Drosophila melanogaster: one gene and its partners. The gene in region 4 interacts genetically with the main gene of each other region. Each region holds a gene or a part of one and is shown on either strand. Other genes may lie near its edges. The genes, in order: btl, sim, hth and jing.

What was found.
Region 1: of jing (region 4) and btl, changing one enhances a phenotype caused by changing the other (phenotypic enhancement), as found in Drosophila melanogaster (one study listed by BioGRID).
Region 2: of jing (region 4) and sim, changing one enhances a phenotype caused by changing the other (phenotypic enhancement), as found in Drosophila melanogaster (one study listed by BioGRID).
Region 3: of jing (region 4) and hth, changing one enhances a phenotype caused by changing the other (phenotypic enhancement), as found in Drosophila melanogaster (one study listed by BioGRID).

What each region holds. Positions count from the first base shown.
Region 1 is NT_037436.4:14,073,999-14,081,792, forward strand, and holds the start of btl (breathless), read left to right. Parts: upstream 1-1,815; intron 1,816-1,877; coding exon of another isoform or gene 1,878-1,947; 5' UTR 1,948-2,050; exon of another isoform or gene 2,051-2,125; intron 2,126-3,066; exon of another isoform or gene 3,067-3,129; intron 3,130-5,456; 5' UTR 5,457-5,613; coding exon 5,614-7,794. Other genes in the region: Pex1 (peroxin 1), read left to right, coding at 1-520, 579-775, 838-1,461, 1,712-1,815, 1,878-1,947. UniProt on the Drosophila melanogaster protein: May be required for patterning of muscle precursor cells: generation of mesodermal and endodermal layers, invaginations of various types of cells, and CNS formation.
Region 2 is NT_033777.3:13,070,816-13,078,428, reverse strand, and holds sim (single-minded), read right to left. Parts: upstream 6,031-7,613; 5' UTR 5,931-6,030; coding exon 5,879-5,930; intron 5,768-5,878; coding exon 5,573-5,767; intron 4,350-5,572; coding exon 4,180-4,349; intron 3,859-4,179; coding exon 3,757-3,858; intron 3,617-3,756; coding exon of another isoform or gene 3,593-3,616; coding exon 3,425-3,592; intron 3,353-3,424; coding exon 3,153-3,352; intron 2,231-3,152; coding exon 2,124-2,230; intron 2,036-2,123; coding exon 963-2,035; 3' UTR 305-962; downstream 1-304.
Region 3 is NT_033777.3:10,611,241-10,616,206, forward strand, and holds the start of hth (homothorax), read right to left. Parts: upstream 3,037-4,966; 5' UTR 1,760-3,036; coding exon 1,745-1,759; intron 1-1,744. UniProt on the Drosophila melanogaster protein: All isoforms are required for patterning of the embryonic cuticle. Acts with exd to delimit the eye field and prevent inappropriate eye development.
Region 4 is NT_033778.4:6,500,000-6,505,013, reverse strand, and holds the start of jing (jing), read right to left. Parts: upstream 3,009-5,014; 5' UTR 1,976-3,008; coding exon 1,326-1,975; intron 1-1,325.

The DNA of each region.
Region 1 (7,794 bases), on a different chromosome or scaffold from region 4:
CGCAAGCCGGATTATTGTCACTTCGAGTTCTTCCACGGATCGCGAAGCAAAGGCCGCAAGACGGAGTCCATCCAAAAAGATCTTCGCAACATTTTTACCAGCTGCCTGCAGCATGCCCCCGCCATTGTTGTGCTAGAAAACTTGGATGTACTGGCCCACGCTGCTGGAGAGCAGTCCAGTCAGGATGGAGAGTACTACAATCGCATGGCGGATACTGTGTATCAGTTGATTGTTCAGTATACCACCAACAACGCTATTGCAGTAATCGCCACCGTCAACGAGTTGCAGACCCTCAATAAGCGATTGAGCTCACCAAGGGGAAGACATGTCTTCCAGACTGTTGCTCGTCTGCCCAATTTGGAACGAGCAGATCGAGAGATAATTCTTCGAGAGCTGTGCAGCCATATCAATGTGGCCAAGGACCTGGATCTTGTTAAGTTCTCCAACCTCACGGAGGGCTACCGGAAATGTGATCTTGTTCAGTTCGTGGAGCGTGCAATATTTTATGCTTATCGCATAAGTGAGTAGTTTGTAGTGTTAGTAAGCAACTTTATCATGTTAAATTCCCTTTTTTCCAGGCAAGACCCAGCCTCTTCTGACCAATGATCAGCTTATTGAGTCCCTGGAGCACACAAACTCGTACTGCCTGCAGGGCATTCAGAGCAATCAAAGAACTGGCAATGATGCCGATGCCAATGAAATGCGCGTCGAGGAGTTGCCTGGCCTGGAGTCAGTTGTGGGAGTTCTGGAGGAGGTCCTTATGTGGCCATCAAGGGTGAGTTTTAAACGAAATATATGTTTTTTTCTAAAATTTAATAAATCATTAATTTCTTACAGTATCCAACCATTTTTAACGCCTCTCCACTGCGCAACCAGGCCGGAGTACTTCTATATGGGCCACCAGGAACAGGTAAAACCTATCTGGTCTCTCAGTTGGCCACATCGTGGAACCTGCGCATCATTTCCGTCAAGGGTCCTGAGTTGCTCGCCAAATATATTGGTCAAAGCGAGGAAAATGTTCGAAACCTGTTCAATCGAGCTCGCAGTGCCCGACCATGTGTGCTTTTCTTCGACGAGTTTGACAGCTTGGCGCCGAAACGTGGTCACGATTCCACGGGGGTCACCGATCGAGTGGTAAATCAGTTGCTCACAGAACTGGATGGCGTTGAAGGACTGCAGGGAGTTACCGTGATAGCAGCTACCTCCAGACCGGAACTGCTAGATCCCGCGCTTCTTCGATCCGGTCGCATTGATCGCTTGGTGGAGTGTCCTTTGCCGGATGCTCCGGCCAGAGTACGTATATTTGAAGCACTCAGTTCAACACTGAGCCTTGATGAGTGCGTGGACTTCGATTGGTTTGCGGGAAAAACTGCAAACTACACTGGCGCCGATATCCAGAGCATCCTGACCTCGGCGAACATGGCGGCGGTTAAGGAGGCGCTAGCTCAATTCGGACACGAGGTGAGCTGGGAATTATTTTCACCGGAAACAATCTGCTTTATGGGTCATGCAAGCTTTCAACCGTTTCTTTCATGTTTTATTGTTTCTCATCCTGATTTCAAATGTAACTTCTATGTAAAAACTCCTTTACGTGTTTGTCTTTTAAATCAAAAGTGAAATCTATGCTACTTCCTGCAACAATGATTAGTCACGTAGTTCTTAGTCTCTGGCCACAGTATAAAATACCATTTGTTTCTTATTGCTTTCCCAGAAACTGGCAAAGAAAATTTCCTTGAAGCAGAAGCACCTGATTGAGTCGTTCCAAACCACTCGTCCTTCGCTCAGCGCCTCCGATGTGGCCAAATATCACAGAACGTACGTAACAATGTCTTCTTTGTTCTTCTGTTCTTCTTACCTTTTTAATTATCTCTTGGTAGGTATGCTCGCTTTACCAACAAGGAGAAGACTTCTAGGGAGTTTGTAGCCAAGCGTGCGACCTTGGCTTAAAGACAAAGACTTATAAGCTTAGCATTATTATTATTTTAAATTGTTTTTTGCATATTTGTACATCTGGAAAATGGAACATTTTGTTGGAAGACGCAAGTCTTAGGTAGTACATATTTCATAATTTTTCTTGTTGAAAAATAAAAACCAAATTTCTTTTATGATTACTTCGTATAAATCCATATACCACTCCGGAGTGTTAAATTGAAAGAATATTATATTTTAATTATAATGTACATACATGTATAAAAAAGAGAAAGAGATGTTCAAATTTAAGAACTAATATCTTTTCGCATTCTGACCTCGGTAAACATGAGTGCTGTTAAGGGGTGGCTCCTTAACAAATGAAGACATCAGGTGAGTTTGGTTATTAATTCACCGGAAATTGTGTTTAGCTATAACAAGTTTTTGATAGCTAGTTTGGATAGTATGTCCCTCCTTTTCGTATTTCCCAACTGTTTCGCATTTGTTCCCATAGCCCCTAACAAGTGCATCAAAAATGCATTTAACTATTTTTGGGTAGATTACGTGCCCGGCATCTGGATCTGGATTTTGGCCTATGCGGGAGCTAGCTGCTGCCATGCCACATGCAGCAACTGAGATTTTTGGATATCAGTCACGTAACGGATATTTCCTTATTGATATGCGATTACCGCGCATGCGCACGTACTGCACACCACTAAGACAATGGACACATTTTCTTTTGCATAAATTAAGCCGCCAAGCAAACAAACAGGGAGGGAACCCGAAGGCCAGATAATAAAGAATTTCAACGAGTCGAAGCCACCGCAAACATGCTTAGAATAAAACCAACAAGAACCTAGCAGAAGCAGCAGCAGCAAACCAGCAATAAAAAGAAAGGAAACCGCTCAGGAAAACTACCAGCGAAAACAATTGCAACATGCGGGAGGGAGACCACCTCGATCAGGTAGCCGTCCGAACCCATACCATCCCATCCGAAGACCCTGTGCCCAGGATCCTAGCAAACATTATCGCAGGGAACCACAGATATCCACTCGTTTCGTATCGTATTGGATCGTATTGGATCGGTTCGGTTCGATCGGCACGTTCGGATCGTTCGTATCGTACCGCGTAAAAGTTTCTTCCGTTTCGATCGTTACTTTCAGTTGTTTGCGCACATTCAAGCCAATCGGTTGGCTCCTTCCACAAACTTTACGGATTACGGTTAGTGCAACGGAAGTGAACCCCCCCCCCCCCCCCCCGCCCAACACCAGCTACCCATCACATATTTCTTTTCATTTATGCCTGGTAAAGGGAAATAAAAGTTGGCAACGAAGCGGAAATGCAAGGCGCCTTCCGCTGCCCTCTTGCCGAGTCTTAAGATTTTTATACAAGCCCCAACCGCGATTGACAGCCGAATAAACATAGTGACAATGTTTTTTGCAATCTTATTTGCCTTCTCCGGCTCCTCGAAAATAAAAGACAAAGAACGTGATTTTTTTGGTCAAAGATTTGGGGTTGTGGCATGGCAGAAAAGAATTGTGTTCCCACTGCGAACTGACAAGCAGCAGTGAAACCAAAATAAAGCAAAAAATAATTTAAGAGTGAATTGTTCCAGCAGTAAAATAAATACAAATCTTTCCAAGTGCAGCCAAAAGATCATAAACCACAGATAAATAAAAACAAAAAGTCTGCAAAGTAACCAAATGTTAAAAATAAAATTTTAATTGAGACAAAGAAACGTGATAAAACTGATTCATACATAATTAAATAAACACCAATGAAATAAATAAGAAAATAAAATTAAAGTGATGTCAATTGTATGAATGAATAATTTATGTCTTGATCCAAACATTCCTTTTACATTAAGTCAATGTTTGCAGAAAGAAAACTGAATGGGGAGTTAATACCCAGGGTTCCAAATAAAGAACTTATTCTATTCTCGATATAGCTGATTGACCAAGTTGAAATATCAAATCGTTCATGCATTAGATTTATACGCTCGATAATAATTCACAAGATAAAAAGGTGTGAGCTAAACGGTTTTGGCCATGTGCGCTTGTGGCTTAAAATCGAATCGAATAATATTGAATGAATGACAAACTGAGAAAAAAATTAAATAAAAATAGCAATAATACATACTTCAAATACAGCGATCGACTCGTATTTGGCAACAAATGAGAAAAAAAGGAATTGAATAAATTAAAACCTGCGACGCGTGTGCATACATACATAAATCGGGCCTGAAGTCAAACGGCTAGCGGCTAGCGGCAATATCGGCTAAAACAACAACAACAATTACTGGCAGCACTAGCACCATATTAACAACAACAATGACAATCGCAACGGTTGTCCCAAGCCTTACAAACAATAAAATACTTTTCATTAAACAGCACAGTGGTCAAAACGATTTTATAAAAGTTAAAAATATTTTAATTTTCTGATAGAAAAAATAGTCGAACTATGCTATGCCCCCATTATTATCAATATTTTCTAAACTTCGTTTAAAACTTTACATTTTGTACAAAGCTTACATTCGCAGACAACAAGTTTGGGAATTTACCCTATCATCATTAATCATTGAACTAAAAATTGTTTATTTTTATTTGGCAAACATTTGACGAACCCAAGTAGATGGAATACCCACTGTCCTATACCCTTTACGTGATTATACTAAAAATTAATTTTGAAATAATTATCTGCTATTAGGATTTTCGAGCAGTGTTATTCAGTGTTTAAAGCATAACTTTATTATAAATATACCTTTTAATTGATTAAAATGCTGAGCTCATATTGCACAGAGAATTTGAATGTTAATTAGTTGCTATTTCAGATTGTGGCAAATCATTTAGGTATTTCTCGATTTGTTGTTGCAATTCTCTAGCACCTTGTCTGTTTGTTTTGTAAGTGCAAGTATAGTACTTGGGGAATAACTGAAAAGTGTGACACCACTGTAACAACTGATTTCAACAAATAGCTAAGTGATTTTCTAACTGTTCGGCATTTAGTTGAATGGAAATCGAGGAGCGCAGGCCGCAGCAACAAAAGCATTTGGCGAACGTCGAATATAGACAAGTTATAATGGAGATCCCCTTCGGTAGTGGGTGGCGACGAGTGTGTCCGGCAATTCGGTGGCTTCGACCACGTCTTCCAGCTCATTACGAAGGCAGGGCACACAGTTTTCGTTTGTTTCAGTTGCTTCTCCTTTGGATTTTTGCATATCGGTGCGGACAGACTTGACTTGGCTGTGTGCCGTGTTGGCAATAAAATATTAAACAATAATAATAAATAAATAAAATGACACAGATCGGGAACTAAGGGAGGGGCAAAAAGTGAAGCGGAGATTTGGCAATATTTATTGATCCACTTATACAGCTGCGGTCAAAAGAATAGTGGCACAATAGTGGTATTCAAGTAACGAATAGCTAATAATATTTGCATTCATAACTTCTTAAATTTAGTTAAATTAAACAAAATTCCAAAGTGTTATTTTTAAAGTATAATATATCAATCAATGCCATGTAATTCATATATTTAATCCTTTCCTTTAGCTGGAGAACGCTCGATTTGAAATCGAGGAACTCGAATGAAGATACCCACAGGAAGTGATATTATTTCGACCGCAACTGTAACCCATATGTACACGATCGTGCCCATCCAGATACGAGATCTTGGTGGCTGTTGAACTCAAGAGAATCCACTTGAATCATGGCAAAAGTGCCGATCACGCTGGTGATGATCATTGCGATCGTCTCTGCCGCTGCGGACCTGGGATGCGATTATGGCCATCATCGTTGCTACATCGATGTGACTGTGGAAAACAGTCCCCGCCAGCGCCATCTGCTCTCCGACATGGACATCACGCTGCAGTGCGTCCGACCCATGGCCAAATGGTTCTATGAGGATAAGTTTCAACTGAGGGCTACCCTTTTGCGACTTGAACGAGCACAGTCCGGAAATTCTGGAAACTACGGCTGCCTGGATAGTCAGAACAGATGGTACAATATTTCCCTTGTTGTTGGCCATAAGGAACCAGTTGGCAATGATATCGCCAGCTTTGTCAAGTTGGAAGATGCACCGGCCCTCCCGGAGTCAGATCTCTTTTTTCAGCCCCTGAATGAGAGTCGATCCCTGAAGTTGCTGCAACCCCTACCCAAAACCGTACAACGGACCGCAGGTGGCCTTTTTCAGTTGAACTGCAGTCCCATGGATCCGGATGCAAAGGGTGTTAATATATCCTGGCTGCACAATGATACTCAAATCCTTGGTGGACGTGGACGCATTAAGCTTAAAAGGTGGTCATTAACAGTGGGGCAACTGCAGCCGGAGGATGCTGGAAGCTATCACTGTGAGCTGTGCGTGGAACAGGACTGCCAAAGGAGTAATCCGACCCAATTGGAGGTGATAAGCAGAAAGCACACGGTGCCCATGCTAAAGCCCGGATATCCCCGCAATACCAGCATTGCCCTCGGGGACAATGTGAGCATTGAATGCCTACTTGAGGACTCTGCCCTGGAGCCGAAGATCACGTGGCTACATAAGGGGAATGCGGACAACATCGATGACCTCTTGCAGCGTTTAAGAGAGCAGTCCCAGCTACCTGTGGATGTTACCCGATTGATTACCCGAATGGATGAACCGCAGGTACTTCGTCTTGGAAATGTCCTGATGGAGGATGGCGGATGGTACATATGCATAGCCGAGAACCAGGTTGGACGCACTGTGGCCGCCTCCTATGTGGATCTTTACAGTCCCTCAGATACTACCACAGTTCGCACGACCACTACTACCACCGTGGCCAGCCCAATACCCACTGCATCCACCGGAGAGGACAACGATGACGACGTGGAAAATCCAGCAGCGGAAGCATCAGGCGGCGTTGGTCCACCTGTGTTCAGAAAAGAGCTGAAACGATTACAGCACTCATTATCGGGAAATACTGTCAATCTAGCCTGTCCAGTGTACGGCAAAGCGAACATCACCTGGACGAAGGACAAGAAGCCGCTAAACCGTGAACTCGGCGTCTATGTGCAAAAGAACTGGACACTCCGCTTCGTGGAGGCCACCAGCGAGGATTCTGGACTATACAACTGTAAGGTGTGCAATGCGTGGGGCTGCATCCAGTTTGACTTCAGTGTCCAAATAAACGATCGCACGAGATCCGCACCAATAATCGTGGTGCCGCAAAATCAGACGGTGAAAGTCAATGGCAGCTTGGTGATGAAGTGCACCGTCTACTCTGATCTGCATCCAACAGTCAGCTGGAAAAGGGTTGTCCTCAAGAATGCCTCCTTGGACGGCCTTAAGTCTGTGGAAATCCAGAATCTCAACTTCACCGTGACGAATGACTCCGTAGTTTTAACGCTTCGTAATGTGACCTTTGACCAGGAGGGCTGGTACACCTGTTTGGCCTCAAGTGGTCTGGGAAGGAGTAACTCCAGTGTGTACCTTAGGGTAGTGAGTCCTCTGCCACCTTTGGAGATCTACGCCCTGCTGCACGCCCATCCTCTCGGATTCACCTTGGCCGCTATTACGATAGTGGCTTTGTTCCTTTTGGGCAGTGCTTTCATAACGTTCATGCTGCGTCGGCTGAGGAGGGAGAAGCTCCTGAAGCTCCGCATCGAAACGGTTCATCAGTGGACTAAAAAGGTGATCATATACCGACCGGGTGGAGAAGAAGGAAGTGGCTGCAGCTCCGGCGATCTTCAGATGCCAGTGATAAGGATCGAGAAGCAGAGAACAACCGTTTCCACAACGGGAACTGGCGGTACTGATCCCGCCCAGGGCTTTAATGAGTATGAGTTCCCGCTGGACTCAAACTGGGAGATTCCCAGGCAGCAGCTTAGCTTGGGCTCCATTTTGGGTGAGGGCGCCTTTGGACGCGTAGTG
Region 2 (7,613 bases), on a different chromosome or scaffold from region 4:
AGGAACTAAATATATGTGTAGTTTAGTATGTTACCTAAAAATATGCAACGAAATATTTTAAAATCGGCTATTGCGTCAAAGCTGCATTTTTCAATCCATACAAAATTTGATTAAAACGCTAAATTGTGAAATATATAAAAGCATATAAATAGATAATTTTAAAACAAAGATAATGGAAATAGATAAAGGTGCTAGTTTTTGAAAATAACATTTTATTTGTAAACCAAGATTACTAAATTAAATAATAACTCTAGAGGCTTCCAGCGGCGCTTATTTGAAAAAATCGAACTCTCGCTCTTTTTTTATTGTTCACCCACGTAATAATTTGTTTATTCAAATTAGAAAAATTCTCGATAATAATAGATTTTACATTTACAATTATTTACTTGACTTATGAAGATCATATTCGTTAACTGCATAGTGGAGCGGACCCTGCACTATTTACACATTATTGCATATACATATGTATATTCGTAGATCCGATGTGTATGCATGATTATGGGGGCCAAGTGTATGCGCTTTACTATATAGTTATAAGTATAAGTATGTGCAATTAATTTAAGTTAGTTTGTATGAACAGTTTACAGTTAGGCCTTACAACTATTTATTATTAGAATTTGTATTTGCTTTTGCATTTGTTAACAACGATCATTCCGCATTCTTAATTTCTTAGCATTTTGTATCAATTTCTTTGTAACTTTACACTGCACAATTAACGCGAACGCATTGCATTGGGTAATGCATGGTGGGGGTGTTAAATAAATAAAATAGAGGCATAGAGGAGGTCCTGAAATTCAGATGGTGTGTGGCTCAGCCACATATTACAATTTCGAACTGAGAACTCAGAGGTGTATATAACATTGCAACGGATGGTGGGGTGGGGGCAGTCGACGTTTTATAAACAACAGTACAGTAGCAGTCAAGGCTCATCGTCCAACATTTGGTTATTTACATTTTTAGGATCACCAGGTGGCGTATTGGTATTGCAGATGCTGCTGCTCCATCAGATGCTGCTGCTGCTGCTGATGCTGATGCTGTTGCGAACTGTTGTCGGAGAAGTAGCTCAGCTCGAAGTTGTGACTCAGATCGCTGTAGGTCGTCTGTGAGGGCGATGTTTCGTTCACAATCGAGGCATTTCCGGTGGACAGCTGCCTTTCGCTCTCCGAACTGCTCGAGCAGCTATTCGAATTGGCCGAGAATGGGCGTATCATCGAGGTGGCCACATCCACCGTCGCATCGTAGTCATAGTAATAGTGATTGTTGTTATTGTAGTACAGGTTGCCGGTGGTCGTGTCCGGATACTGCATCTCCGTGGAGTAAACGCCGGAGGACGAGGCCGACGCACTGGATCCACCGCCCGCACTTGAGGCGGTGCCACCGCCCACACTGCTGCTCGAGCTCACCACCAGGTCGTTCAAGGGCGGATAAAGCTGCGTGTAACTCAGGCTATCGTGATCCATGCTGCCGGACTGCTGCTGCTGTTGCACATGATGGTGGTGCCACACGCCGTTGTTATTGTTGCTACTACTACTACTATTATTCGTTGGGGGCACGGGCGTTACGGCCGGCTGCAGCGGCAGCTCTGGCTCGAAATACGGATCCAGCTTGGGACTTGCACTGAGGGCCAGACTAACTGGCGTACCCGGACCCACCGGCTGACCCGTTGCTCCGGCGCACTGCGGCTGCACCACCACCGACTGCTGGGGCACCACCACCACCTGGGCCTGCACCGCTTGAGCCACATGTGCCGCCTGTGCCGCCTGTGCCGCTTGGGCCGCTTGGGCCGCTTGAGCTGCCTGTGCCGCTTGAGCCGCCGGCGATATGGGCTCCCGCTTCACAACGCCCGTCTGAATCTCGTTCAGCACCAAGTCTTTCACCTCTCGTTCGCTCAGCACATAGTTCACGCTCACGATGAACACTTCTCGCGAGGATCGCGAATTGTGCACCAGTGTCGCGTACGACTGCACCCACACCCAGCCGCCGCCTTTGGTGAGGAAGCGGTAGTACTTGGTGGTCACTTGTCCTTTGTACAGCACTATTGATAGGGAGAGAAGAAACAAACTCGATGAGAATGATGTTTTATGGAAATTATTATGGCAGTGTATTGGGATGAGTGTACTTACGGATTTGATGAGAGCAGCGCATGGCCATGATGTCCGCGGCGTGGATATACTGATACAGGGTCTTCTCGATGAGGTCCTGCGGCTCGTATCCTGTTAGCTGCGATACGCTGTAAGCAAATAAACAGGCAAAAGGATGAGCATGAGAATGGGGATAAGTTTCGAGGTCGAGGGCAAAAGTTTCGCTGGCTTATTTAAACAGTGAATGAATGGTCATTGGTGTTGCCTTTGTCGCTGGCGTGTTTTATTCGGTTGGTTTACTTTTGCCGACTCCAATTCAATTATGCAGGAAAACAAAAAAAAAAGAAGCGGCGAAAAAGGGGCTGATTTCCCGCTCAGCACTTTGGGGTTGTTTGCTGCGAAAGTGCGAGGGCGCCAGAATAGGATGGCAATATGCTGTGTGGCATCATGAGGGTAATTGAGTGACAATAATGTCAGACAAAGTGGGCTGGTTTTTTGGCCCGGCAGGCACTTACACAGCGTCCCCTTTCCCCCTCAGCACTCACTCACACACTCACACACACGCACAGGGACAAAGGAAAATCAAGCTCAAGAGGGAAATGATTTGTTTTTCCTTTTGTCATGTCGCCACCGTCTTGCTTACATTTCCTTTTCCCTACTCGATTATTTTTTTTGTTTTCCGCCACTTTGAAAACATTATCTTTTTGGGGGCGTCTGCTGGTACTTTTTATCGTGGTGTAAAAAACGAATTCTGCGGCCCGTTTAAATATTTGCCTAGTGTCGAATATACGGCAAACAGGCAAAGGATACTTTCGAGAATTTTTTAAGTGCAGTGAGAAAAATTATGCTGTGAAAGCACCAGGCTACACGGATAAAAATTGGTCTTAGAATTACATTATGATATTTAAGGATATTAAACATTAAGGATATTTAAACATCCAATAAATCGATGTTGTAAGATTTATAGGAATTTCTCGAGTGGATTTCAATACAAAGTGATAGAAAATATGCAGACAACGAACTATTCATCTATTTGTGCCCTAATTAAATGGAAATTTGAATTACACTTACCGTGCATCGAAGAAGATGAGCTTCATGTCCAGCTTGGCCCGGAACATGAACATATTCTGGTGCAGCTTGATTTCCGTGATGGCGGATGAAGGCAGCGAGTGACCGACGGCCACCAGGCCGAGATTCTGGATGAGGCTGCCCTGTCCATCCCCGCGATCGGGATAGATGCGAGCCTTCAGATAGCCGGAGCAGTGTATCACCTAAAATCATCAAGTAATACAAGGATAAGCAATCAATCCATTTAAAGGAATGGTATGTATAAAATTCTTTACCTTAAATCCGGAGGTGGTGAGGCCCGCGTTCCTTTTGGCCAGGACGCACTTCATGCGCAGGAAGAAGGTCTTCTCGATCTCGATGGTGTGCGATCCGCGATCGTGGTCGTAGGCGGATGGATGCTGGACGCCATTGGGACTGCCGATGGGCGTGTGCGTCTGGGCGAGCTGTAGGGAGTTGAGAAAGGCGGCCTGTGGCGTGAGTACAAGTCAGAGTAGGATGGATGCATGGCAGTGAGAGAGAGAGAGAGAGATGGAGAGAGAAAGAAAGAGAGCGCAAACATTTTCAAATGTTTCAAAGGACTCTGTGGAAACACGGATGCTCTACTCACTGGATGCTGGTTGATGTGCGGATGCAGCGACAAAATGGCATTCATCTCGTCCTGATCGTAGTTGTGTATGTACTCGAATATCGAGTTGCCCGTCAGCTCAACCTGGTTAAAAAAAAGAGATAAATAAACCATTAAATATTAAATTTATATAAAATATATCCTATACTGATGTAAAGTTAATTTCTTTATGCTGATCATATAAGTGGAGCTATGTTAATTTGCTCCACCAGCACTGAGTGCCAATTAGTGGGCAAATGCAAATGAATCGTCTTTACTGAAGCCACAGCACTTGGGTGACCTGCACCATTCAAGCCCATTGACTTGCAAATGCAAGTGGTGGCCAGGATACAAAAAGGCAAATTCAGGTGGCCCGGCAAATTATGCGCATAAATCAGGACAAGAGATCCATTCACCGACACTCACCTGACTGAGGCCCAAATGCACGGAGGCCGTTTCCGAGATGTACATGATTTTGCCATCCGGAGCCACCACGAAGATGAATCCGTCCAGCGTCTGCAGCAGATGGGAGCCCAGCTCCTTGATGGTGGCGCCGCGTTGCATGGCAGGCGATGAGCCCCAGGCTTCGCCAAGACCTACAAAATAAGATTTAGATTTATGAAACATGTTTTATTGTCTTTAAAAATGAAATCTAAAAAGTTCTTGCTACTTAATACAATCAAATTGTATTCCGTTTTAAATGATTTTTATATAGTTTTATATTTAAGCTGTCCTTTCTATTGTCTCCGTTTGATTGGACTTGGATTTAGTATTATGTCAAGCTCCCGTTTCTATTGTCTTATCCGCCCCAATGTCCTGAATTAATTGTTTGTCATCCGCTCGAAGTATCTTAATTCGCAAAATTCCCACCAGCAGCAGTGGCAGTGGCAGCACACGCCCTACTTGCCACTGCTGACGTCTAAATATTATTCCCAATTAAAGTCATCGAGCGCCGTAGGTGGCCCATTCACAGCCCACCATTCCACCCACTGGCCCACCCCCCCCGACTTTCATCGACTTCGCACCATATATACAACATATATTGTGTTGTACATAATACCACTGGCACTTCCTTGGCCCGTCCGGATCTCGTTGTTTGTTGCCTATTATTAAAATAATTATTTCAATAAAGGCTGAAAAGAAAAGCACAAAACGGTGCGGCAACAATGGGAGCGTCAAACGCCCAACCAACCGACCGACCAACGAACCACCCACCCACTCACTTCTCGAGCAACCCTCTTTGTCAGCAGAAAATCTCAGTGGCGCACGCTCACATGGTCGGTGGGGAAAAGTTCGGGAAATGTGTGTGTGTGTGTGTGTGTGTGGGGGGGGGGGGGGGGGAGATGTTCGAGTTCGGTTTTCCAGTGCGGCTCTCGCTGCTCTTTGAGTGAAACAACCAAGCAGCCGCCATTGTGTTTTCGCCAACCCCAACCAGCCGCCCACTTCATCCTGCTGTTTATTGTCTGCCCATTTGTTGAGTGCTATTTCCCTGTTATTTCCCTGGCCGATTCTCGCCAACATATGCTTTAAACAAACATAGCCGCTTAAACTTGAAAACTGGCAGCGTAAAATGGAATGAAATGAAATCATTGCAAGTACATTGGAGTTAAAGTGAAAACAAAGGAGCATGTCCTGCTGCGAGGATATGACGAGCTTGGATTATAATGAGCGTGTCGGTCGCGTGGCTGTCAAAGATTCCGCATCATTTGCCGTGTAGCCACAAGGCGCATTTCACACGAGATGAAAAGCCAAGAGCGGCGACAAATTGAGCGCCAATCAAGTGAGTTTTTCCGCAGGACGATTTTCCGATTGAACTTACCATCGGGAAAGACTTGGCGCATTTTCAAATACGACGTGGTCAGCCGGATGACGGAGGCCTTGTCCAGTTGCGAAGTAATCGCCGCCGGCAGCGGCAGTAATTTGGCCAATTCACAGAATTCCGTGTTTTCCTTTTCACGTCGCGTGCGTGCCGCATTTTTGCTTTTCTCCTTCATGGCACACGTTTTGGCTATATCTGCAAAAATCGAAATAACCAAAAAGCATTTTTAGTAACAGAGGAGAAAGTTGGTAACAAACTAAAAAAAATGAACGTTGATATATTTCGTTGCCAAAAACCACAACCGACCATGCAATCTGCTCTCATAGCAATCCTTGCGCACTCGCCGATGGTTAGTCATTTTAAAGATATCCTTTTTTATAGATCCTGCTTTGAGACTGTTGCGAGCACCTTCTCAGCACTTGCTCATATCCCTGCAATCACCTGTTTGCAACTGAGCCGCTTTCCAGCGGCACAAGCACTTTTAACAGTTTCCCAACTGATCCCGAAAAGGATCTGTTACCTGATCCTGAGAAAACAACCTGCCATTGGCTGCACTGGATTTTTACCTGTTTACCCGGGGCAATTGACTTTTCGCAATGTTACTAATTTGCTCAGATCATTTTTGCCGAATGGCGAGACGAAAATAGCTGCCATCTCACTCCAAGTGACTCCTGCATTCAACAGGTTGACTTTTGCCGACCGCAGGAGTTTCACTTATATCTATATGCACACAGACACACACACAAATATTCTGGTGTCTGTGCGAGCACATAATACCCAAATGATGTCCCACGCACACTGCCAAACAAAACGAGAGTTTAGGAGGTGGCGAAATTTATATGCACCACACTCACACACATCCACAGCCAGGATGAGGATGACCCACAGCCGGAATCCTGCCATTGATAGTTTTCGAACGTGATTTTGGCGCAGTTTTGGCAAAATCTAAGCCATTGGAACTCCTGCTGCTTTATTTTCCATCGAGTCACTTTTTCTGTCACTCTCAAAGAAATTGGCCATTTACCTAAATGTACCGAATGGCTGGAATTCGCACGTAAATACAAGTTTATTGACTTAGGTCACGTATCTTAAATGTTTTTAGTTTTGCCGCTAATTTGCCCACAAAAATGTTAGATATGCAAGTTAATCCGACGTCTTTTATGGCCATATAATGCAATATATACCTCAAATTTTATACTTCAACTAAATGTATATTGGAATAACTAGAGCTTAGCTAATTTATGATAAAAAATTAAAAAATAAATCAAAGCCAAAACTCCAATAAAGTGTTTCCTTTGTATTGATAGTACTTTGCATCCATTTAGCAGCAAGAAATGAAACATTTGTCAAAAGTCAGAGATTGAGGGAATTGTCGACATCCGTTACGCATTCGCAGGAGCAACAGATTTGCCCAACGATCATAATCCTAAAGAGTATTCCGCGCTAATCCGCAACGCAAATGTGCCAACATGCACGTCTGAAGTGAGGTTGCTTCCCTTTCTCCGTTGGCGAAGTGGAAATTCCAGGGGAAATAGGGGAAAACTGAGGCGTTCCCATTTAGGCCGCGATTGCCATATTTGACTCGACTAGCGTACAATATGCGGACAGGAGTCAGCCAGAGGGTTGGATATCATATGCCGGCAAATCCATTTAATAGGATAGTTTACGAGCCGTAAGTGGGTCAAAATTATTCAGGATATAAGCCATTATTCCATTTGAACATTACAGCATTTCATATAGCCATAAATACGGGAATATGCCATTGATATATCAGCGTTTGTTTCAATAATCTCAATTCTGGATATAGGAAACAAAGATGTAATCAAAACATGCTAGATAGTATGAAATCATCGTAAAATGTGCACATCTTTAGGATTAATATTTTACAGAAAATTAAAAAAATGTTAAATAAATTGTCATTTCAAATTTTTTTTCAATTATATTTATAAACCCTAGGGCTAAAAAAGTTCCCCTTTCACGACAATGAAACTCAAACTTTAACGATCTTTTCCCGGAAAGCGTATAAAAATGCGACTCATGC
Region 3 (4,966 bases), on a different chromosome or scaffold from region 4:
ACATTTTTATACAAATTGCAATTGCACATTTTTTTTTTTTGCACATTTTACACGGCCGCTCTTTCTCACTGTTTCTCTCGTTTGCTCTCCGTTTCGATGGCATAAAATAATCAAATTAAATATATATAAAAATGCATGTGCAGTTTGGTTTGAGAAGAACCCGCGAAAATTGCTTCCCGCCATTTTTCGCAAATTATAGCAGCGCAAAGTCATGGAAAATGGTAAAAATAAAATTGTAAATAATAAAACCACGAAGCGGCATAAACTGAATGGATCGCTTTTGGGCCGCTGGCAATGTGCAAAATGTGCAATAAAATTATATGCATCAAATGCACACAAACAGACAGAACACCCGTATATATTCACATACTCGTACATACATACATATATCTCTCGCCCCGAGTCGAAAAATTCATTTGATGGAATTGAAATGGCGCGATTCGGGTAAAGAGCCGCAGGAGAATTACGAAAAAGGGGATTCAAAGAGGTAAATTCGGCACAGAATCGGGTATTAAACCACAGGCGTAAATTTATTCGCCAGTAACGCAGACACACACAAAATTCCCGCGGGCATTTCTTTTTTCCCATCTCCATTTCCATTTCCATATCCATTTTTATTTTTTATATTTCTTTCTGATTTTTTTAATGCTCCCAAAGAGCATGGCCCACCTTTTGGTAACACACACACACACACACACGCTAATTGGTAGCACACACACAGGCAAACGGCCATGTTTGAGGTCTTTTTGCTCCGTTAAATAAAAATCAAGTTCACTTCGCATGTCCATGATAATCAATTGATAAAGTCTAACTGCGATTTGGTAATAATATTTTTTTGAAGAGCGGGCGAGCGGAGACTGCCGGTCACCTGATTAGCATATAATTTACGATCCAGATGGATTGTAAAAATTATTACTCCGTTTAAAAAGCGAGGCGAGAATTTATGCCTTATAAACGTGATGGAAAATGGTGGAATCATTGTGGCTATGCAACGGGGGGGCTTTTCGGAGGTGAAGGTCCCAGCCATGTTTAAACAAAAATCGAATCAACTATTGCGGTGTGAAAATGAAAAGTTAAGGGGAAAAGCTAACAATTTTCAATAAACATTATTTAATGATTTTCTAGAGTAAACCGTTGTTTAATGTAATACAATATCTATCACTATTTCGGCGATCTTTGATTTCCATCACTTCCCAAATAAAATGGTCTAGCTGCAGACTCAGTTAATTATATAAACTTGTACCAGAAAATGACCCGCATAAATCAAATGTGATTTCTGTCCTATTCCAATACACATAAGCACACACACACACACACACTCAGAAACGCTTAGTTAAAATTCATTTTGATAGGGCTCTAATAAACAAGAACTATTCCCCATTGAATTGATTGTAATGGGTTAAATTGGAGAAGCTTGGAGGCCATGTATAAGAAATATTTATATAGATCTACTTCATGAAGTTGGATTAACTAATATCTGAAGATTTTTAAAACTTTTTGCGTATTCTGGTTATAGATTGATTTGGTTACACTGGTAACATATCCATGATATGAAAACTGTTACAATATCATCATAAACTACAACCTGTAAGTGCCGTCGGCACCACTTGACTTGATTACAAATTGACTGAACCCCATTTGTTTTTTAGCCGTCGGAACTTGTTTAAGGATAACAACACTCTCGGGGGACCATTCTATATGGATTCTATATATTTAGAAAGTGAACTTTGGTGGATCTACTTACCCTGGGCTGAGCCATTAATGCTCTGGGAGCGACGTCTAACCCGATTTGTGCCACTTTTTACAGTAGGAACAACAAATGGGGGCGCAACACACTGACCGACGTCCCGCTCCGCCGCTGCAACTGCTTCGGTTTTAGGGAAGCTCTACTGTAGCTGCCCGTGTGGAGTCCTTAGATTTACTCTTGGCTTTTCCAGTTCTTCAGTTTTGGATGTTATTTTCTTGGATTTTTATATATGTTTTGCACTTTTTTCATGTATTGGGAAGCCTTTGCTTTTTGAACGCTTTGCTTCTTGATTTTGCTTTCTTTTTTTTTAACACAGGCACATTTGTTTAGATTTTATGTATTATTATTACGTTTGTATACTTGTTGTATTGTTGATGTTGTCGTTTTTGTTACGCGCGCGTTTGTTGTTTGTTTTCTAGAGCGGGAGATCTGGTTTTGAATGTTTTTTTTACTTGTGTGTTTGTTATAATAATTATTTACATAGCATTTGTTTGGTTTATAAAAATCGTATACAATTTGTTGTTGGTTGCCGTTGCAGTTGTTGTTGTTGATGTTCTTGGTATACTCGTGTATTGTAGTAGTTGCTGCAACATCATTTGTTACTGGGTTGCATTTGTTGTTGTCATAAATCCATGGCGTTTTTTCCCTTTTCCTCTCTCTCTCGTTTTGCGAGTTTCCTTGCCTTTTCCTTGGTTATTTTTATAGTAGTAGTTGTGGTTGCTTTTAATTTTTATTTGTTTGTCGTATACTCTTTTTGCTTTTTTCGTATAATATGCGCACTATTTATCACAGCTGCTTCTACATACTACGTTACTAGAGATGAACAAATTATATTGTTAATATATAATGCAATATATTCTGTTGTGTTTTTGCGACGGCAATTTGCGTGTTTCTTTGTTTTTGCGGGGGGATCGGCGGGATCCCCTCGTTGAAAGAAATTCCCTCCGCGGCCCTCAAATAACAGTATTTATTTTGGCCTTCAATTGTGAAAAGGAGAACTTTTCGATTGTGATTGAAAAACACACTAAAAAACGTGATTGTTTTGTTCGCGCGATGGAAAAACGCGCGCGATTTCCAAAGTGTTTCTTGTGTTGTTTATTTGTTGATTGATGGCAAAACGCGTGGTTAACGGGCAATAATAATAATCATAATAATAATAAACTTCACCGACGGCAACACTTTTTCGCTTTTCTTCTCTTTTTTATTCGAACGCAACGCAACACAGACACACGTCGTACGCGCTTCGCAGTCAAAAATACACTGTGCGGATGAAAGATATTTCATCGAAAAACCAACCCGCCAGATACGTTTGAATTTACGCTACAGTCGGACGTGTTTCCACTCCTAACATCGCTGTTAACTAACAGCGAAGAGAGCGCTGAGCGACAAACAACAGCAAAGTCAACGGGTGCAAGCGGTGCGGCATGATTGTCAATCATGCAGCTGCCCCGCTCTGTTCAGATGCAACAATTGTGCCATTAACTCGCTCTTGGCCATAACTCAGCGAGTGCAAGCGAGAGGAATATATGGTTTATGCGAACGCTCCGGCGAATTGCCTGCGCAGGCGCGCTCGCATCCTGGGCGACGATGACTGATTTGTTGGTACGCCTCTTCTGTCATACACACACTTGTCATTCACATGCATATACAGTACCGTACAGCGGTGTTCTATCTCTTTCTCTTTCTCAGTTTTCGCCTCTTTTTGCGCAATGTTCGCCGCGTTTGAAATTTATTTGGCTTTGGCCAAAAGGAGACGGCTTATGGGTTTTTCGCCCCTCTGCCGGCGTCGGCGTCGAAAATCAGCAAAAACCAATCCCATTTGTTATTTTCGCTTGAGTGAGTGGCAGTTGGCAGCTTGGCTCTTTTTCGCCGCACCTTTACAGGTTGAAAGGCAGCGAGAAAGCTTCAGTTGTCCATCAGCTTCAGCTTTCGCTCACTTTTCGCTCTCTTTTGGCGCCCCCACACACACTCGCACACACACACTTTTGCCCGAATAGGCAACGCCTTCGAAGAAAAGCGGCAAAAAAGAGAAGAAACTTGAAGGAGAAGAAGAAGAAACGTGGACGACAAAAACAAACTTTTCGCTGCAGTTCCTTTATTGCGTCCTTTTGGCTTGTAACGGTGATCTGGCCACTTTGGAAGGATATGCGATCCTGACAACAACAAACAGCTGTTCGAGTTTCTCCTCTCTCTCTCTTTCTTACTTCTTGGGGAACAACAACAAATGGAACGGCGATAAATTGTCAAAAACATTCGCTGAAAATTGCATATTTTGCAGGTCATTCTGCGCTCCTGTTTGGCGAATCTACTCTCATTTGGTTTTTTATATACCCTGTACAAATGGTGTTACATCTCAAACCAAAAATAAAAAATTGAGGAAACGGGCTTTTGCATTATTTGAACAAGTTTTTTGATGACAAGTATGTTTGGGCAATTTTCAGTCAATTGTGATATCTTCGGCGTGATTGTACAAATTTTTTTTTACATTTTAAACTAAAATAAATTAGTCCAATTTGTTTTACCAATAACTACAGGGTAACAAGGTATGCCAATCTTCGTATTCAGTCCGAAATCCTGTCTATTGTTGCTGTTATTGTTACTGTCGTGTCGTCGTCCTCGTGGCAGTTTAAAAAGCAGTTAACACATATTCCCAGGCCATTTTTCACCAGCGTATTTTTGGCTTGGCGCTGCAGTTGCCATTACGCCGAAAGAGACGGGGATACTGGCGAGCGAGAGAGACGGGGCGATTTGGCCGGCGTTTTTAGGAAAATGAAAAATAGCCTTGTTTGTTTTCCGACGCTCGCCAAAAGGATTTCCCGTGTCTGTTTTCGCTGGTCAAAAAGATGATGTTGCACTTAATCTGGTTGCCATTTCATCCCGAAATCCCAAACCCCCAAAATCTTGGGAACTATGTATGATATAGGTGCTCTGTTTCTGCGTCTTGTCAACACTTTGACAAATTTATGAGACTTTGATTGATTTGCGGTTGCTTTTTCCCTTTTTTCGTTTCGGGACTCGCTTTCTTTTGGCTTTTTCAGACGTCCAACTTTTGTGCGTCTGCTCGGGCCAAAAGCCAAGTAATTTATGTGAAACAAAAATCACATAAAATCGAATCAATTAAGTGCAATAAATTAGTGAAACGCTTAAGTGTGGGAACTTTTCAGACTTATCGGTGACCAAGTTAAATTCGAATAGATCGATCGACGCGGTAGCAAAGTT
Region 4 (5,014 bases):
GAAAGAAGCAACGCCGAAATCGCTCACCAGTCAACGAGGGAACGCGATCTTGGGGAGGTGATACGAGGACGGTGATAAGGCCAAGCCAATTGACAAAACGCTCCCCACAAAACATTTGAAACATGCTGCTGCGAAACCAGACACAAATGCCACATTGGCGTTTAGAAGATATGTATGGAATCAGAACCATTTCTGAAAACCGAAACATAACTTAAACATAATCGACAATTGTGCAGCAGATCGGCAGAGAGCACCGTCCATATTCAAGATTAATTTCCCCGAGGGGGTGGTTTCGGTTTCGGACTCGTATCTGCATCTATATCTACATCGATGCAGCCAGGAAGCTGTTTTCGTTTGCTCAACCGCCCACGCGCCGCATGGAAAATCAGCAGCTCTGCTACTGCGGCGCATCAGCCGCCATTTGCGGCTGATAAATGAACGCATGTTGTGCGTATCTGCCAGATACAAATGCCTGCAGTTCGTTGCGGCCTTTGCTCTTCCTTTGTTTCCATTCCACTGCTGCCTCTACTGTGCTGCGCATTTTTAATGAGCGGAAATTAGTTGGCATTGCGGCAAGAGGTTTTGTGGCTGCCCATTTGAGTAGATACAAATGTATCTGTAAGCCATAAATTTGCAATCTATGAGGCACGTGCCTCGTAGGCCCCTTACAAGACTGGCACTTTGCTGTTCTGTACAATTATCGGAACGATTACCTGTCAGATAAATTCAGCTCAATCGGCTATTAGCTTTTTCCAGATCTCGCTGAGCATTGCAGATTTGGTTCATACGTTTATCATGATTGGGATGGGCTGCATTCTATTTGTGTCTTACGGATCACACTTTTGGATCACTTTTTGGCAGTACAGCGCGCGTGTATATTTAGAGAATTTTCTTTGGCTCAGACTTGGCACAGCCAGCCGGTTCGCAGATACACTTTTGCATTTCCCTTTATAGTTAGGCAGTGCATCTAAGAAATACATTTGGCAGCTTGCATTGTTAAGACGCTTAATGATGCCATTAAATACGTCGATGAAAAGGGGACGGGGTAAGCTGCTATTGAATGTCTTTATGGCGTATACTAAAGGTGTTTATGCAAAAAGTTTATTTTTTATTATTGTTAAATAAGTCTTATTGTGTTCCTTAAAAATTTTAAGTTTTCAATATATTTCATAAATTAGATACGACCATCGTGCCTGCCTTTGCATTTAAATAAACCTCAAAAAATCTCAAATTACGACTAGAATTTAGAACTGTCGAAGAGCAACGTACTTCCCTATCGCTGCAAAATGCCAAACTTCAGTAGTGTGCCCACGACATGCACTCACCTGTCTGATGACTCCGACGAGTCGTACCGATCTAGACATCTCTTCTTGGACCCCTTTGTGCCACGTTCTCCTCCAGTTGTTCTTGGGGCTGTTGCCACCGTTGTTGTTTTGCCGACTCCCACTCGAGATGTTGTTGCAGTCTTCCTGGCGCCCTGGTAGAGCTGAGATCGCAATGCGTTTATATCCAATTTGGCGGCTTGGGCTCCAAACCCGCCAAAAACTCCGCCCACCCCCCGTTTGGTACCCTGCACGATTCCAATAGTGCTGGGCGAGGTAAAGGGCCGAGCGGGTTTGGCCGGGGGCTTCAGTTCAATATTGGAGGACAGAGACGGGCTTTTGTTGATGGGTGGTGTGGGTGGTGGGCTTTTGGGAGTAAGTATCGGGGAGGCGGTGGTTGTACTGGCTGGTGCTGTTATAGGTGGTGTGGCTTCTGGGCTACTGTTGTTGCCGACGCCGGCGCCAATTGTCAAACTGTTTGTATTGACGCTATTTTTCAGCTGATCAAACAGTGACAAAGCCGCGCTGGAGGTTAAAGTTTTCCGTCCCGTTGCTCCTGCTGTTTTGACAGAGAGTGGGGCCAGAGGGGCTGCTACTTCAGCTGCCGACTCCTTGGTCTTTAATGCCGTATCCTTTGGCTGAGTGACTGACATTTTCCCTCTATGTTTGCTGCACTATTGCTATAACGACGCTTTTAATTGGTGTTAACTGCTGCCAGAACTCTGGATCTGCTTTAGCACACATCTGCTATTCCCAACGGCTTATTGTTAGTCGACGGAAAGCCAATTTGAATTGCATTAATCTGAAAGTTGCTCGTCAGCAATTTTTAGCCGCACTGCCCTTAAATGGTGTTACCATTCCGATTTTCCCCATCAGTTTGCACAAATTGGTATATATATATCGCCATGAACTTGCATTTTACGACTTTCGTGGGTCGGACTATCGAGTTACGAGAAGTAAAAATATTTATACAAATTAAACAAAAATTCATTTAAATCAATTGCACTTGTATGACTTTTGGCATTAAGCTGCACTTCACTTCTGCACTTATGACACACATTTTTCAATTCGATTGATATTTCAACGAGAAACTACTTGATCATCATAAAATTAATCGACGTCGCGGGTTCGGTTTTGATTTGCGTGGGGTGGTTGGATTTGCGATCCGTTACAAAGTGTTACACTGTGCTTTATGGATTTGTGAATGGCCAGTAGTTATTTCACTGTCGGTTGTTTCCGGTGCACACCCGAAATTCATTCTGCAAGATTGGCCACGCGGTGCTCGCAAGTTCAAGAAAGCGACAATGAAACCGAATTCAAAACCGAAACGGGTAAGTCAGGTTAACCTCCTAGTCGCTGTGACTGCGAGCCAGCTTTTGTTTATTGACAACAATGACGGGCGAACAAACACATCGCAATCTAATCAAATGCATTCCAATGTGCCTCAGCAAACTAGCGATTTACTTATCGCGGGGCCAACTTGTCTGCCGCGCGTACCATTCATAATTAATGTAGTGGTCACTGCTCTTAATAGCCGCCAATTGCAGTATAACCAAATTAAACAAAGTCTAAGAAGCGCTGCACTGCAAGCTAAGAATTCCGAAACGCCATCGATTGGCAAGCGAAAAACTGCGATCTCCCCACGAAAAAGCTGCGGGCTGCTCTTGCTCTGCCTGCCGACTGACTGACGAGTGGGGCCAAGTGGAGTGGGAGTGGACCGAGCGCTGCGGCCCCACCCGAAGAGGTAGCCGACGAGAAGCGAGGCGGCGGACCGAGTGCCAGCCGAATGGCTTAGCCAACTAGAACCGGGCACAAATCAAGATACGAAGCACGCGAAGCAAGAACGAAGGCAACGAACTGCCGTTCGTTTTAATAGGGGCTCTCCGACGAGCTGAGGGTGAAGAGGAGAAGAAAGGGCCGCGTGCAGTGTGTTCACTTTTGATTTCTGTGCAGCGGCAGCAGGTTTTCGAGAGCGGGACCAAGAGAGAGGGTCGCGTGGGGAGCTTGTTGCGCTACAATGTGAGTTCTTTCTGTGTGTGTGAGTGTGTGCATTTGAACTTCTGGGGAAGTTCAGAGATTCCGTATTTGAATTTCAGCATTTGGCGGCTGGCTAGATGGGCAGCAACTTCCGATGTGTCCGCGGTGGCAAGTTCGCTCACACACAAGCGACCCAAGCTGCAGCTACCTGTTGATATGTGTGGGAACTAATCAGAATACAAGAGGTTCCTGCGGTTCGATAAAACTCAAAACCGGTTCATCCAAGCGAGCATGGTTATATGGGAACTTGAGCTCGAATTTGAAGCTAAATACAGATGTGTGGAGAATATGCACCCATAACCAATACCTTGGCTATATGTATCTGTTTTGGCCCACACTTAATAAGGCCAAAAAAGTCAAGAACAAAAACAAAAAAAACACGAGTCTTGTATAAAAAAAGATAAAAGTAAACAAAGTTATGGCAAAAACCAAACAATAACAAAACAGCAAGGCAGCCAGACCAGCTCTCTCACAAACACAATCTAAAGTCGCAACTGTTTTTAAAGACCAAAGAAAGGGAGGGAGCGAGGAATCAAACACAACACGTGCTTTTATTACGCTACAAGCAATGGTACGTACGTCTGTGCGATGCAACTGAGGGAGACTGCAAAAACAGGAGGGACAAAGAAGACATGTTTACGCGAGAATTTTGCGGGTGTGTGCGAGTGCGACAAAACTCGTTTGGTGTCCAGTTTTACTCTACCAATAAAATGTTTGTTCCTATTGAACGTTTTACACTGCACATACTTGGGATCACTTTAATTAAGTGAATGAATTCATTTCCGAGGAATGCATCTAATACAATCAAAATGTTTTAGCTCACAAAAGCTCTGCAAAAAATAGCTCACTCAACCATTGTAAATGCAAAAATACACTGCGTAAGAGTGACAAGTTAAATAAGTTTATAAGCTTGCGTTCGCATTTTGCGCTGCATTTTCCGGAAAGCTATTAAACTGCAGCAAACGGAGAGAGAGAGTGAAAATAGGATTGAGACAATTGAGAGAAAAACAACCATAATGCTGCATTCATACTTCGCTGAATATTTTTGTAGATGCATATACATATGTGTAGATAATATTAAATTAAATTATTAAATATAAAAATAAAATATAATCAAACATTTCCTCAATAAAATATCTAAGCTGGCAATTATACTGGAGCCCATCACAATTAAAAAAAAATTATGGGTCTTTTAAATGCTCTCAGTGTAAAGCTCAGATTGCCACAGCATACAGCTTTTGTCAGCGATTACGTCCAAATAAACAGTTATGCCTTTTCAGTATTTTTATAGATAATTCCAAAATTACATAAGTGGGCATGTAAACTAAGTAAGGAATCAAACCAGTTTAAAATTGATAGCGAACTGCATGATGTTCCTTGACCATCAACGGGAAAATTGGTTAACCAACGCAAAGTCAGTTTAATTACGATAAAAAAATAGACTCATAAATAATCACATATCTAAAACTTCCGAACGCATAAACGAAGACAGAAACCTTTATGTTAAATAAATTTTTCACATCAACTCCATGCTAAATATTTTCCGTTCGACTCCAATTTAATGTGTATTAATACGACTTTAAAAAAGGTTTTCCGCACGTTTGAAAAGGCATTTAAAAAGCTTATTTATTTAAAATGTTTAGCTGCATGGATTG